3 linked regions of the Canis lupus familiaris genome follow. Each later gene encodes a partner of the first gene's protein in a complex. Links are inferred from orthologs where the notes say so. Each region holds a gene or a part of one and is shown in the gene's direction. Other genes may lie near its edges.

Region 1 (3,750 bases):
CTGGTTACCTCACTTTCCTCCCCTCACTCCCTTACCCACTCCCTTACCCATTCCCTTACCCTCACTCCCCTACCCCACTCCTCTGTTTTAAAACCCTTAGAAGACTCTTAACGTTTGTCTATCAAGTAAGGCCTTTGGGATCTTACTCTCTACCTTGCCAGCCTTAACTTCTTGCCTGGGCTCATCCTATTTTATGCTCCATTGTAATTTTTAAAAATTTATTTGTGGATCCTTGAACTGGTGAGTCTGTTTAAACAATTCTGTGCCAACTGTTAGAATTGACCAACTAGTCCCTGTTTTATACCACCTTTTCACGCTATACAGAATTTTGTCATAGCAGGAATAATGTTTATTTGCCCTTTTGCCTTTAGTAAAGATGTATAATGCCCCTGTAGGACTATAAACCCTTTCTTGGTTTATTGATCCTTGTATCCCAAAGCCAAGTACTGGACTTGCCAGTTGAAAAATATAAAATGAATGTATGATCACCCTTAATGTCTTTTTCCCATTTATTGCTTAGGCCTTAATATTTCCTTGATTTTATTAATTGGCATGAGTTCATTATATAAGGATATTAATGTACTGTTGTGTCTTCTCAAGTGTATTGTCTTTTAATTCTGTTTAATCTTACCTTTGATGTAATGAAGTTTTTCATTTTTATGTAATCAGGTATAGCTATCTCGTATTTGTTCACAGCTTCCAGTGATTTTGCTGCTGATTTTTTATGCCTTTTGTGTTCTATGATGTTAATATATGTTCAATATAGAAAACCTAAAACATAGAAATGTCCAAAGAAAATACTCCTTTAATAAAAAAGTTCCCATAAGCCTACTGCCCAGAAATAACCACTATTAACGGTATTCAACACATAATAGGTATTGAGTAAATAATCTTTGGATGAATGAATTAAAAATTTGGTGCAGTCTTTTTATTTATATGAATATTTTAGAACAAAGCTATCCGTTTGAGTTTTATATTATTGGTTTGCTTTTTTCTCTTACTATGTTGTGAACATTTTTCCATGACAATAGTCTTCTAATTTTTTTTTTAGCTACACTGAAACTGCATTGAGCCAAGCTTGCCACCAAGAGCCCAACAATCATCATGATGCTGAGCACGGAAGGCAGGGAGGGGTTCGTGGTGAAGGTCAGGGGCCTACCCTGGTCCTGCTCAGCTGATGAAGTGATGCGCTTCTTCTCTGATTGCAAGATCCAAAACGGCACATCAGGTATTCGTTTCATCTATACCAGAGAAGGCAGACCAAGTGGTGAAGCGTTTGTCGAACTTGAATCCGAAGATGAAGTGAAATTGGCATTGAAGAAGGACAGAGAAACCATGGGACACAGATACGTTGAAGTGTTCAAGTCCAACAGTGTTGAAATGGATTGGGTGTTGAAGCATACAGGTCCGAATAGTCCTGATACTGCCAACGATGGCTTCGTCCGGCTTAGAGGACTCCCATTTGGCTGTAGCAAGGAAGAGATTGTTCAGTTCTTTTCAGGGTTGGAAATTGTGCCAAATGGGATGACACTGCCGGTGGACTTTCAGGGGCGGAGCACGGGGGAGGCCTTTGTGCAGTTTGCTTCGCAGGAGATAGCTGAAAAGGCCTTAAAGAAACACAAGGAAAGAATAGGGCATAGGTACATTGAAATCTTCAAGAGTAGCCGAGCTGAAGTCCGAACCCACTACGACCCCCCGCGAAAGCTCATGGCTATGCAGCGGCCAGGTCCTTATGATAGGCCAGGGGCTGGCAGAGGGTATAATAGTATTGGCAGAGGGACTGGGTTTGAAAGGATGAGGCGTGGTGCCTATGGTGGAGGGTATGGAGGCTATGATGACTATGGTGGCTATAATGATGGCTATGGCTTTGGGTCTGATAGATTTGGAAGAGACCTCAATTACTGTTTTTCAGGGATGTCTGACCATAGATATGGAGATGGTGGGTCCAGTTTCCAGAGCACCACAGGGCACTGTGTACACATGAGGGGATTACCTTACAGAGCCACTGAGAATGATATTTACAATTTTTTCTCACCTCTTAACCCCATGAGAGTGCACATTGAAATTGGACCCGATGGCCGAGTTACTGGTGAGGCAGATGTTGAATTTGCTACCCATGAAGATGCTGTGGCAGCTATGGCAAAAGACAAAGCTAATATGCAACACAGATACGTGGAGCTCTTCTTGAATTCTACTGCAGGAACAAGTGGGGGTGCTTATGATCACAGCTATGTAGAACTCTTTTTGAATTCTACAGCAGGGGCAAGTGGTGGTGCATATGGTAGTCAAATGATGGGAGGAATGGGCTTATCCAACCAATCTAGTTATGGGGGCCCTGCCAGCCAGCAGCTAAGCGGGGGTTATGGAGGTGGGTACGGTGGTCAGAGCAGTATGAGTGGATATGACCAAGTGCTGCAGGAAAACTCCAGTGACTATCAGTCAAACCTCGCTTAAGTAAACAATACTAAACAGCTATTACAAAAATAAAATCTCTGCATTTATGGGAGTTGTAGAATGGGAGGGATGTCTAGTATATCCAGTATGATTGGTAAATGGGAAATACTGATTCTGATCACTCTTGGTCAGCTTCCTCTTTCTTTCTTTCTTTCTTTCTTTCTTTCGTTCTTTCGTTCTTTCGTTCTTTCATTCTTTCCTTTTTTTTTTTAAGAAAACAAAAGTTAAGTTTAACAGTTTTGCATTACAGGCTTGTGATTCATGCTTACTGTAAAGTGGAAGTCAAGGTTTTACAACTTTAAGCTCAGTAATTTTGAACACTGAAACATTCATCTAGGGTGTAATAACAACGTTCAGTATTGACCATAACTGTTAAAACAATTTTCAGCTTTCCTCAAGTTAGTTACATTGTAGGAGTATACCTAAGCAGTAAGCATTATTTAGGTTAAAGCAGTTTCACTTATGTTAAATGTTGCTCTTATACCACAATACCTTGAAAACTTTGGATGCATGTTGAGAAACATGCTTTTCTGTAAAACTCAAATATAGGAGCTGTGTCTACGATTCAAAGTGAAAACATTTGGCATGTTTGTTAATTCTAGCTTTTTGGTTTAATATCCTGTAAGGCACGTGAGTGTACACTTTTACTTTTTTAAAGATCTGGGACAATTTTGAGATGTAATACCAATACTTTAGGAGTTTGGTCATGTTGTTTGTATGAGATTCTGAGACTTTGATTTAAACCTTTCCTTGTATTGTGATTTCCATTAGATGTATTGTACTAAGTGAAACTTGTTAAATAAATCTTCCTTTTAAAAATGAAAAATCTTGTGCAGCTTGATTTCTTTTAAAAATTTTATTTATTTGAGAGAGAGAGAGGCAGAGAGATCAAAGAAGGAAAAGCAGATTTGCCGCTGAGCCGAGAGCTGGATGCAGGGCTCAATCCCGGGCCACTGAGATCATGACCTAAGCTGAAGGCAGACATTTAACTGAGCTACCCAGGCGCCCCAACAGCTTAATTTTTTAAAAATGTTCCATCATATGAACCATTTCTTTGATACAAGTCCTCTGCACTTGAAACTTATTTTTTTAAGATTTTTATTTATTTATTTGATAGAACAAGCAGGGTGGAATGGCAGGCAAAGGGAGAGGGAGAAGCAAGACTCCACACTGAGGAGGGTCCCGGACATGGGGCTTGATCCCAGGACCTTGAGGTCATGACCTGAGCCAAAAGCAGATACTTAACCCACTGAGCCACCCAGTGCCCCTGCCACTGAAATTTAAATTTAATTTTTA
Region 2 (3,750 bases), on another chromosome or scaffold:
CTGAAAAAAATGTTAACAGGTTCTTATTTCCCTGGGCCGCCATGCAAGTGGGATCAGTTCTGAGCAGCAACTGTGGTCTCCAGGGGTCACAGTTCTAACACATCCCCCCAGCTCGTTTAAATATTACCTGAGAGGCTCGGGAATGAGGTCAGAAAGAGGAACAAACTCCAGGATTCTGCCAACACACGCGCGCTTTTTCTTGTTTTTTTTTTTTTGAAAGAGTTGGATACGTAACAGGCACAATTCACTCTTCAACCTTTCAATGGACCTCACCTCTGCGCTAGGCCCAGTGATGGGCGATTAAAGAGAAGCTGAGGTCTCAGTCCTAGTTGACTGGTCAGGGCTCGGCCACCGCCACTAGGTCAAGGCGTGTTGAGCTGAGCTATACAAAGTCAAGTTCTGAGCCGGCGGTGGAACCGGGTCTAAGCTGGGTTGCCCTAAATGAGACACTTGTCTGAGCAGCCCACCGCCTGAGACCAGAGGGGGCAGGAAAACAAAATCACTACTCAGCTCGGGACTGAAGCACCAACAGCGGAGCTCCGGGACCAGCCTCCCTCTACGAGGATGTTCCCGTTTCCGGAGCAACCGCCAGGTCCCTCCCCCCTTAGCTCCGCCCCCAGCAGTCTTTCCCGCCAAAGGCCGTTAACGCCGCAGAGCATCGTGGGACAAGGCTCCAGGCTAGGTTTCACCCAATGCTTTTAAGGCGCGGACTTGTTTTAAAAGAGACTCATTCCTGAGAAAACGGACTATCCTTTAAGATTCGTCAGGGATTAGTAGCTCCGTGGACGAGGGATCTCTGTTTAATTTTTACCAAAGGGCCGGTCACGTCATTTGCGAGCCACTCCACAAATCCAGAACGCGAGGAACTTTTTTCTCCCTTCGCGCGGAGGGTGACGTCGCGCATGCGTGAGCGTACCGCTCGCAGCACCCGTTACGCTCTTGCGCGTGCGTACTGAGGCCGAATAGCAGCTTCCTCCCGCTTCTCTTCCTCCCTCCCCCCATATCCGTGCGCCGAGCTGATAAAGGCGCCATTTTGGAGGGGCCGCGGGAGACGTGGTGTCGCTGCGGGCTCGCTCTGCCGTGCGCTAGGCTTGGTGGGAAGGCCTGTTCTCGAGTCCGCGCTTTTCGTCGCCGCCATGTCGGGAGGTGGTGTGATTCGTGGCCCGGCAGGGAACAACGACTGCCGCATCTATGTGGGTAACTTACCTCCAGACATCCGAACCAAGGACATTGAGGACGTGTTCTACAAATACGGAGCTATCCGCGACATCGATCTCAAGAATCGCCGCGGAGGACCGCCCTTCGCCTTCGTTGAGTTCGAGGACCCTCGGTGAGGCGGCCTGGGCCTCGCCGCCTGGAGGCAATAAGTTGGAGTAGTTGGGGAAAGGCCTTGTTACCGAGAATGGGGAGGTGGGCTTTTAGGTTGGGGGTAAGACTGTGTCGCCCATGCAGGAGTCGAGTAAGAGCCGAGTCGATGTGGTTTCTCTGGTGGCTGGGCCCACGGACGTCCCCAGAGTGGACTCTCCGTCTCGGAGCGGGAAACTGAGGCGCCGAGGGCTGGTGTAGTGGTCGGGAGCCTGGCGTGCTTCTGGGTGGGGGAGGGGCCATTCCTATTATGCAGCGCATGTGGGCTCTTCCTCGCTGGGTGCGCATGTGCGGGGGCCGCTAGTTCCCGACTGAGTTAGCTGCCCCTCCCGGGCCTTACTCTTACACCTCTTGCTTTCTCTGATCACGCAGAGACGCGGAAGACGCGGTGTACGGTCGCGACGGCTATGATTACGATGGATACCGTCTGCGGGTGGAGTTTCCTCGAAGCGGCCGTGGTACAGGCCGAGGCGGCGGCGGGGGTGGAGGTGGCGGGGCTCCCCGAGGCCGCTATGGGCCCCCATCCAGGCGTTCTGAAAACAGAGTGGTTGTCTCCGGTGAGTTTTCTGTTGGTGAGGGTTGTTGAGGAGGGACAGGAGCCACTTTTAAGTGTTCCCTTGCGTGAGTGGTTTTGACAAATGCCTGTTTTTGTGGTAGGTCTTAAATTTAGTTTCTCGGGTGAGTTTAGTAAAGGATAACCGTAGTGGAGGTGTACCAGTGTGCTAGTTACCTACCATTAGGTCGGATGCCTGGACGATGAAGATCCTTACTTTACAGAGAATTTGGGACTTTGGATTCCAGAATCTTAATTAATGGCTCTCTTACCTACGATCTTGAATCTGATTAATTTTAAAGTGGTTTTCGTTCTAGTATAGATTTTAAGTGTAGTGTGAAATTTAGGGTGATTGGTATTGAAAAAATACTTTTTTAGGACTGCCTCCAAGTGGAAGCTGGCAGGATTTGAAGGATCACATGCGTGAAGCAGGTGATGTATGTTATGCTGATGTTTACCGAGATGGCACTGGTGTCGTGGAGTTTGTACGGAAAGAAGATATGACCTATGCAGTTCGAAAACTGGATAACACTAAGTTTAGATCTCATGAGGTAGGTTTTACACTTACTCTTTTCTTTGGCCAGAATTGGATACAGTGGTCTTAACAGTGGAATTTGAAGGTAAGATTCAGGCAAGGGTGTCCAAGTAAAATACCAGATTTCTGGTTTTAGTTACATTGTATTCGTTCAGCATGCCTGAAGACAGGTGAAAGCTTAGATCTTTCAATCGAAAGTTCTGTCTATTCAATAGGGAGAAACTGCCTACATCCGGGTTAAAGTTGATGGGCCCAGAAGTCCAAGTTATGGAAGATCTCGATCTCGAAGCCGTAGTCGTAGCAGAAGCCGTAGCAGAAGCAACAGCAGGAGTCGCAGTTACTCCCCAAGGAGAAGCAGAGGATCACCACGCTATTCTCCCCGTCATAGCAGATCTCGCTCTCGTACATAAGATGATTGGTGACACTTTTTGTAGAACCCATGTTGTATACAGTTTTCCTTTACTCAGTACAATCTTTTCATTTTTTAATTCAAACTGTTTTGTTCAGAATGGGCTAAAGTGTTGAATTGCATTCTTGTGTAATATCCCCTTGCTCCTAACATCTACATTCCCCTCATGTCTGATAAATTGTATTTTAAGTGATGTCATAGACAGGATTGTTGAAATTTAGTTAATTCTCCATGCTCTTCAGACTGTGATATTGTGTAAATGTCTATTCTGCTCTGGTTTGTGTGAACTGGGATGTTGGGGGTGTTTGTGGTTATCTTACCTGGGGAAGTTCTTATGTTTATCTTGCTTTTCATGTGTCTTTCTGTAGACATATCTGAAGAGATGGATTAAGAATGCTTTGGATTAAGGATTGTGGAGCACATTTCAATCATTTTAGGATTGTCAAAAGGAGGATTGAGGAGGATCAGATCAATAATGGAGGCAATGGTATGACTCCAAGTGCTATTGTCACAGATGAAATTGGCAGTATTGACCTTATACTAAAAGGCAAGGGATAAAAGTGATTATATATATATATATATATATACATCTACCTTAAAACACTTGCAAACATCTTGTGCAGTTATCTTTAGCTACAATTGCTTTGCTCTTTAAACCTTGGCAATTGTGGCAAAATTACATTGCCCATTTTGTAACAATTATTTTGCTCCCTTCCCCCCTTTTTTGTTTTAATAGGGACTAATGTGGGAAGAACTGGCTAATTTGTCACAGTGCTTAGTTACAACTGTTAATGTGTGACCTGCTGTTGGTGTACATGTGGGTACAGGGTGTCTTTAATTCCAACCAGATAGAGTATAATATCAATACTGCTAAATCTGCATGTCCTC
Region 3 (3,650 bases), on another chromosome or scaffold:
ACGTGCCTTCTTCAGTGAGGTGGAGAGGCGTTTTGATGCCATGCCATTTACTTTAAGGTACTATGACTGCACTTAACAAGAACAGGACTCAGAACCAGCCTGACTCATAGACCACACACCCAGGAACACTGTTACCTCTCCCAGTGCACCCCCTCCCACCCTGCCCCTGCCTAGACTTGTAGCTCCAGCCTGCATGCATGCCTTCTCTCCCTCTCCCCATTGCCCTCTCATCGAAGATAATGTGCAAGAGCAATCCTAAGCATGATTTCTGCCTGAGGGTAGGAGCTATTTAAAAACAGGAAAATGGTAAGACTTGATAGGGGGTTAAGGATACCTGAATCTGTCTTCCCTCACCCAGAGCATTTGAGGATGAGAAGAAGGCCCGGATGGGTGTGGTGGAGTGCGCCAAACATGAACTGCTACAGCCATTTAATGTTCTCTATGAGAAGGAGGGTGAGTTCTAAGAAGAGAGTTTCACTTTGGAGCCCCTAATTAGGGTCCCCACCATCTAGCTTCAGAAAAGATTATGACAGGGGGTCATTTTATCAAAACCTTTCCTTTCTCCTATAGGTGAATTTGTAGCCCAGTTTAAATTTACAGTCCTGCTCATGCCCAATGGCCCCATGCGGATAACCAGTGGTCCCTTTGAGCCTGACCTCTACAAGTCTGAGATGGAAGTCCAGGATGCAGAGCTAAAGGTCAGTGTGTGAGCACAAAGGAGACAAAGGAGAGTGGCGAGCACATGGCACCTGTCCTGGGAGTGAGGATGAGATGTCAACAAAGGCCTGAAAAGAGTTAAGATACTGAGAGTGACATTTCATGTTTCCTCTACATTGCTCAAAATTTGTTTTCTTTCTTCCTCCTCTTTTCCAGGCCCTCCTCCAGAGTTCTGCAAGTCGGAAAACCCAGAAAAAGAAAAAAAAGAAGGTGTGTTATGATCTTCCCTCTCTGGCAGGGTGAACCTGATCTGTCTTTAGTCTACCTTCCTGGGTTGTGGTGGACGTACATATTTCTGTAGATCCTTACTGCCCTGCTTGGCCCTGACCTAAAGCATTAGGATGTTTTTGCCCTTGGTCTCCCAGATACTATTGCAAGTAGTTGGAAACTGGTAAGTCTTCCTGTTCTTTCCATGAATATAGGCCTCCAAGACTGCAGAGAATGCCACCAGTGGGGAAACATTAGAAGAGAATGAAGCTGGGGACTGAGGTGGGTCCCATCTCCCCAGCTTGCCGCTCCTGCCTCATCCCCTTCCCACCACACCCCAGGCTCTGTGAAGTGCAGTTCGTCTTCTCCACCCAGGACCGCCAGCAGAGCAGGGTCTCCCTGCCCCCATCCCTGTCCCCATCCCAACCCCTTCCAACAACAACCAGCTCCAACTGACTCTGGTCTTGGGAGGCCAGGCTTCCCAGCCACCGAAGACTACTTTAAATAGAAAAGAGAAATTGATAATAAAATCAGGAGTCAAAATTCATCGTCTTCAAGCCCCTCTTTCTAGCCTTTTTCTACTACTCTCTGCTTGGTCAAGGTTTATGGCCCTACAACATAACAGGGAGAAGGCTAAAGTAGCCACCACCACTAAAAACTCAGCTGAAATTTTTTTATACCACTCTGGTGTCAGCATTTTCCCATCTGTTGGGGCTTGTTCCTCTCTTTTCTCACTCCCCAGGTATTTTATCAGGCCTCAAAATATAGAGAAGAGCTATATTCTTCAGATTGTTTTTATTCACATGTAGCAGATTCCTTTTCTGATCCACACTGTCTGGTTAGGCCCCTCTCATTTTTAGGAGCTGGGGCCTGAATTTACCAAGGGATTCTCATCTGTCAAATGGATCCTCATTTGTAAATCTCTTTAGTTTTAGTCATTTCTGTTCCACAGGACTTTTTTTTTGTCTTCACAAAGCTGTGAAGAAGTAATCCATCTCAACCTTGTCCATTTCTTTGGAGTCAATTGGAGGGGGGGGGTCAATGCATTCCCCTGCTCCATCTTAGAAACCTGAGCTGGAAGCTCAACTGGTTTTTGTTCCCTGTTTGAAATATTTTGACCTCCCTCCCTGAAAGACCAGGAACCAAAGGAGCAGACTGACTGAAAATACAACTTTTGGCTTTTTGAAGCTGTGGACTTGGATTGGATGAATTGCTAGGGGTTTGGAGAGAAAGGTGATGAATTTCAGTACCTCTGGCATGCTGTCCCAGGAACTAGGGCTCCCGCTAACTTATGAGGTTTTTAAACATGTTGAAAATGACATGGCGTTAAAATAAATTTGGATTTGCTCATAATCCTGGTGCCTTCATATGGTGCTCTTATTTGATGGAGGTGGGGGAAATGTCAGTTGAAGTGATAGTCATTTGGAACTAGTTTTCTATGTTGCCACATTCTGTCTTTCTAAACCAAGAAGTACTGTGGATTGGGGAAGACCTAAAGCCTGGGTTCTCTGAATTAAGACAGTAAATTTTTAATGAAAGTTTTTAAATTTTTCTGGAGTAAAATCTTACCCCTTGTTGGTGACAATTTGTTTAGGACAAGGTGTACTGTAAGAAAGAAAGCCTGTATATAAGTATATTGGGGCACCTAGGTGGCTCAGTTAAGTGTCGGCCTTTGGCTCAAGTCGTGATGTCAGGGTGCTGGTATCGAGCCCCATATGAGGCTCTTTGCTCAGTGGGGAGTCTTTAAAAAAGTATTTTGATTTCAGAAACCAGGAAAAATGCCTTTGTCATTAGGCAACTTTTCAGGGCCAGTCTGAGATGGATGGATGATTTATTAGACTATCTTACTTACTTGTGAGGCTTTGCTGATACAGAGATAACTATAGTGAACAAAATAATGTAAGTCCCTTCATAAGAGCTTATAGACTACAGTTGACCCCTAAACACAAGGATTAGGGGCACCAACGTGCTGGCACAGTCATCCATATGTAACTTGACCCCCCAAAACTTAATAGCCTACTTTTGACCAGAAGCTAGAATAACCATTAACACATTTTACGTGTTATAGGCATTATATACTCTATTACAGTAAGATAAAGACAATCACAAGGAAGAGAAAATACATTTACGGTATTGTATATAGATTAAAATTCCACGTGTAAATGTACCCATGGCAGTTCAAACCTATGTTCATATGGCAACTGTAGTGGGCAATCAACAGGTGAAATGCTGGTGGACTTGATTTAATGTTGATGGAGGTTTTTTTTCAAAAATTGTTATATTCTTTTTTTTTTTTTTTTTAAATTGTTATATTCTGATGGTGACAATACTAGGTCTTCTTAAACGAGGGCCTGAAGTATTTTTTTTTAATTTTTTTTTAATTTTTATTTATTTATGATAGTCACAGAGAGAGAGAGAGAGGGAGAAGCAGGCTCCATGCACCGGGAGCCCGACGTGGGATTCGATCCCGGGTCTCCAGGATCGTGCCCCGGGCCAAAGGCAGGCGCCAAACCGCTGCGCCACCCAGGGATCCCCAAGGGCCTGAAGTATTAAAAGTTTTTTTCCAGTTAAAAAGATGAAGTGTTACTGTGTAAATTATAAAGGAAAACACGAAAAAAGGATGATCACAAAAAGCTGTACACTCTTACTATAAAAGTAAGGTGAAATCTGTATGGTAAAGGGCTCTTTCTCATCCTTCCTAAATCAAGTTTCCTATAGCCAAATCT

What was found.
Region 2: HNRNPH2 (region 1) and SRSF1 share a complex: the UniProt entries of both Homo sapiens proteins name them as parts of the ribonucleoprotein complex. The link is inferred for Canis lupus familiaris from reciprocal best matches to the Homo sapiens genes HNRNPH2 and SRSF1.
Region 3: HNRNPH2 (region 1) and PA2G4 share a complex: the UniProt entries of both Homo sapiens proteins name them as parts of the ribonucleoprotein complex. The link is inferred for Canis lupus familiaris from reciprocal best matches to the Homo sapiens genes HNRNPH2 and PA2G4.

What each region holds. Positions count from the first base shown.
Region 1 is NC_049260.1:75,730,552-75,734,301, forward strand, and holds the end of HNRNPH2 (heterogeneous nuclear ribonucleoprotein H2), read left to right. Parts: intron 1-21; exon of another isoform or gene 22-240; intron 241-1,051; 5' UTR 1,052-1,104; coding exon 1,105-2,454; 3' UTR 2,455-3,280; downstream 3,281-3,750. UniProt on the Homo sapiens protein: This protein is a component of the heterogeneous nuclear ribonucleoprotein (hnRNP) complexes which provide the substrate for the processing events that pre-mRNAs undergo before becoming functional, translatable mRNAs in the cytoplasm. Binds poly(RG).
Region 2 is NC_049230.1:32,652,964-32,656,713, reverse strand, and holds the start of SRSF1 (serine/arginine-rich splicing factor 1), read left to right. Parts: upstream 1-988; 5' UTR 989-1,136; coding exon 1,137-1,330; exon of another isoform or gene 1,331-1,737; coding exon 1,738-1,922; intron 1,923-2,296; coding exon 2,297-2,469; intron 2,470-2,668; coding exon 2,669-2,863; 3' UTR 2,864-3,750. UniProt on the Homo sapiens protein: Plays a role in preventing exon skipping, ensuring the accuracy of splicing and regulating alternative splicing.
Region 3 is NC_049231.1:783,982-787,631, forward strand, and holds part of PA2G4 (proliferation-associated protein 2G4), read left to right. Parts: coding exon 1-57; intron 58-358; coding exon 359-453; intron 454-570; coding exon 571-698; intron 699-873; coding exon 874-927; intron 928-1,139; coding exon of another isoform or gene 1,140-1,205; exon of another isoform or gene 1,206-1,471; intron 1,472-3,650. UniProt on the Homo sapiens protein: May play a role in a ERBB3-regulated signal transduction pathway. Seems be involved in growth regulation. Acts a corepressor of the androgen receptor (AR) and is regulated by the ERBB3 ligand neuregulin-1/heregulin (HRG).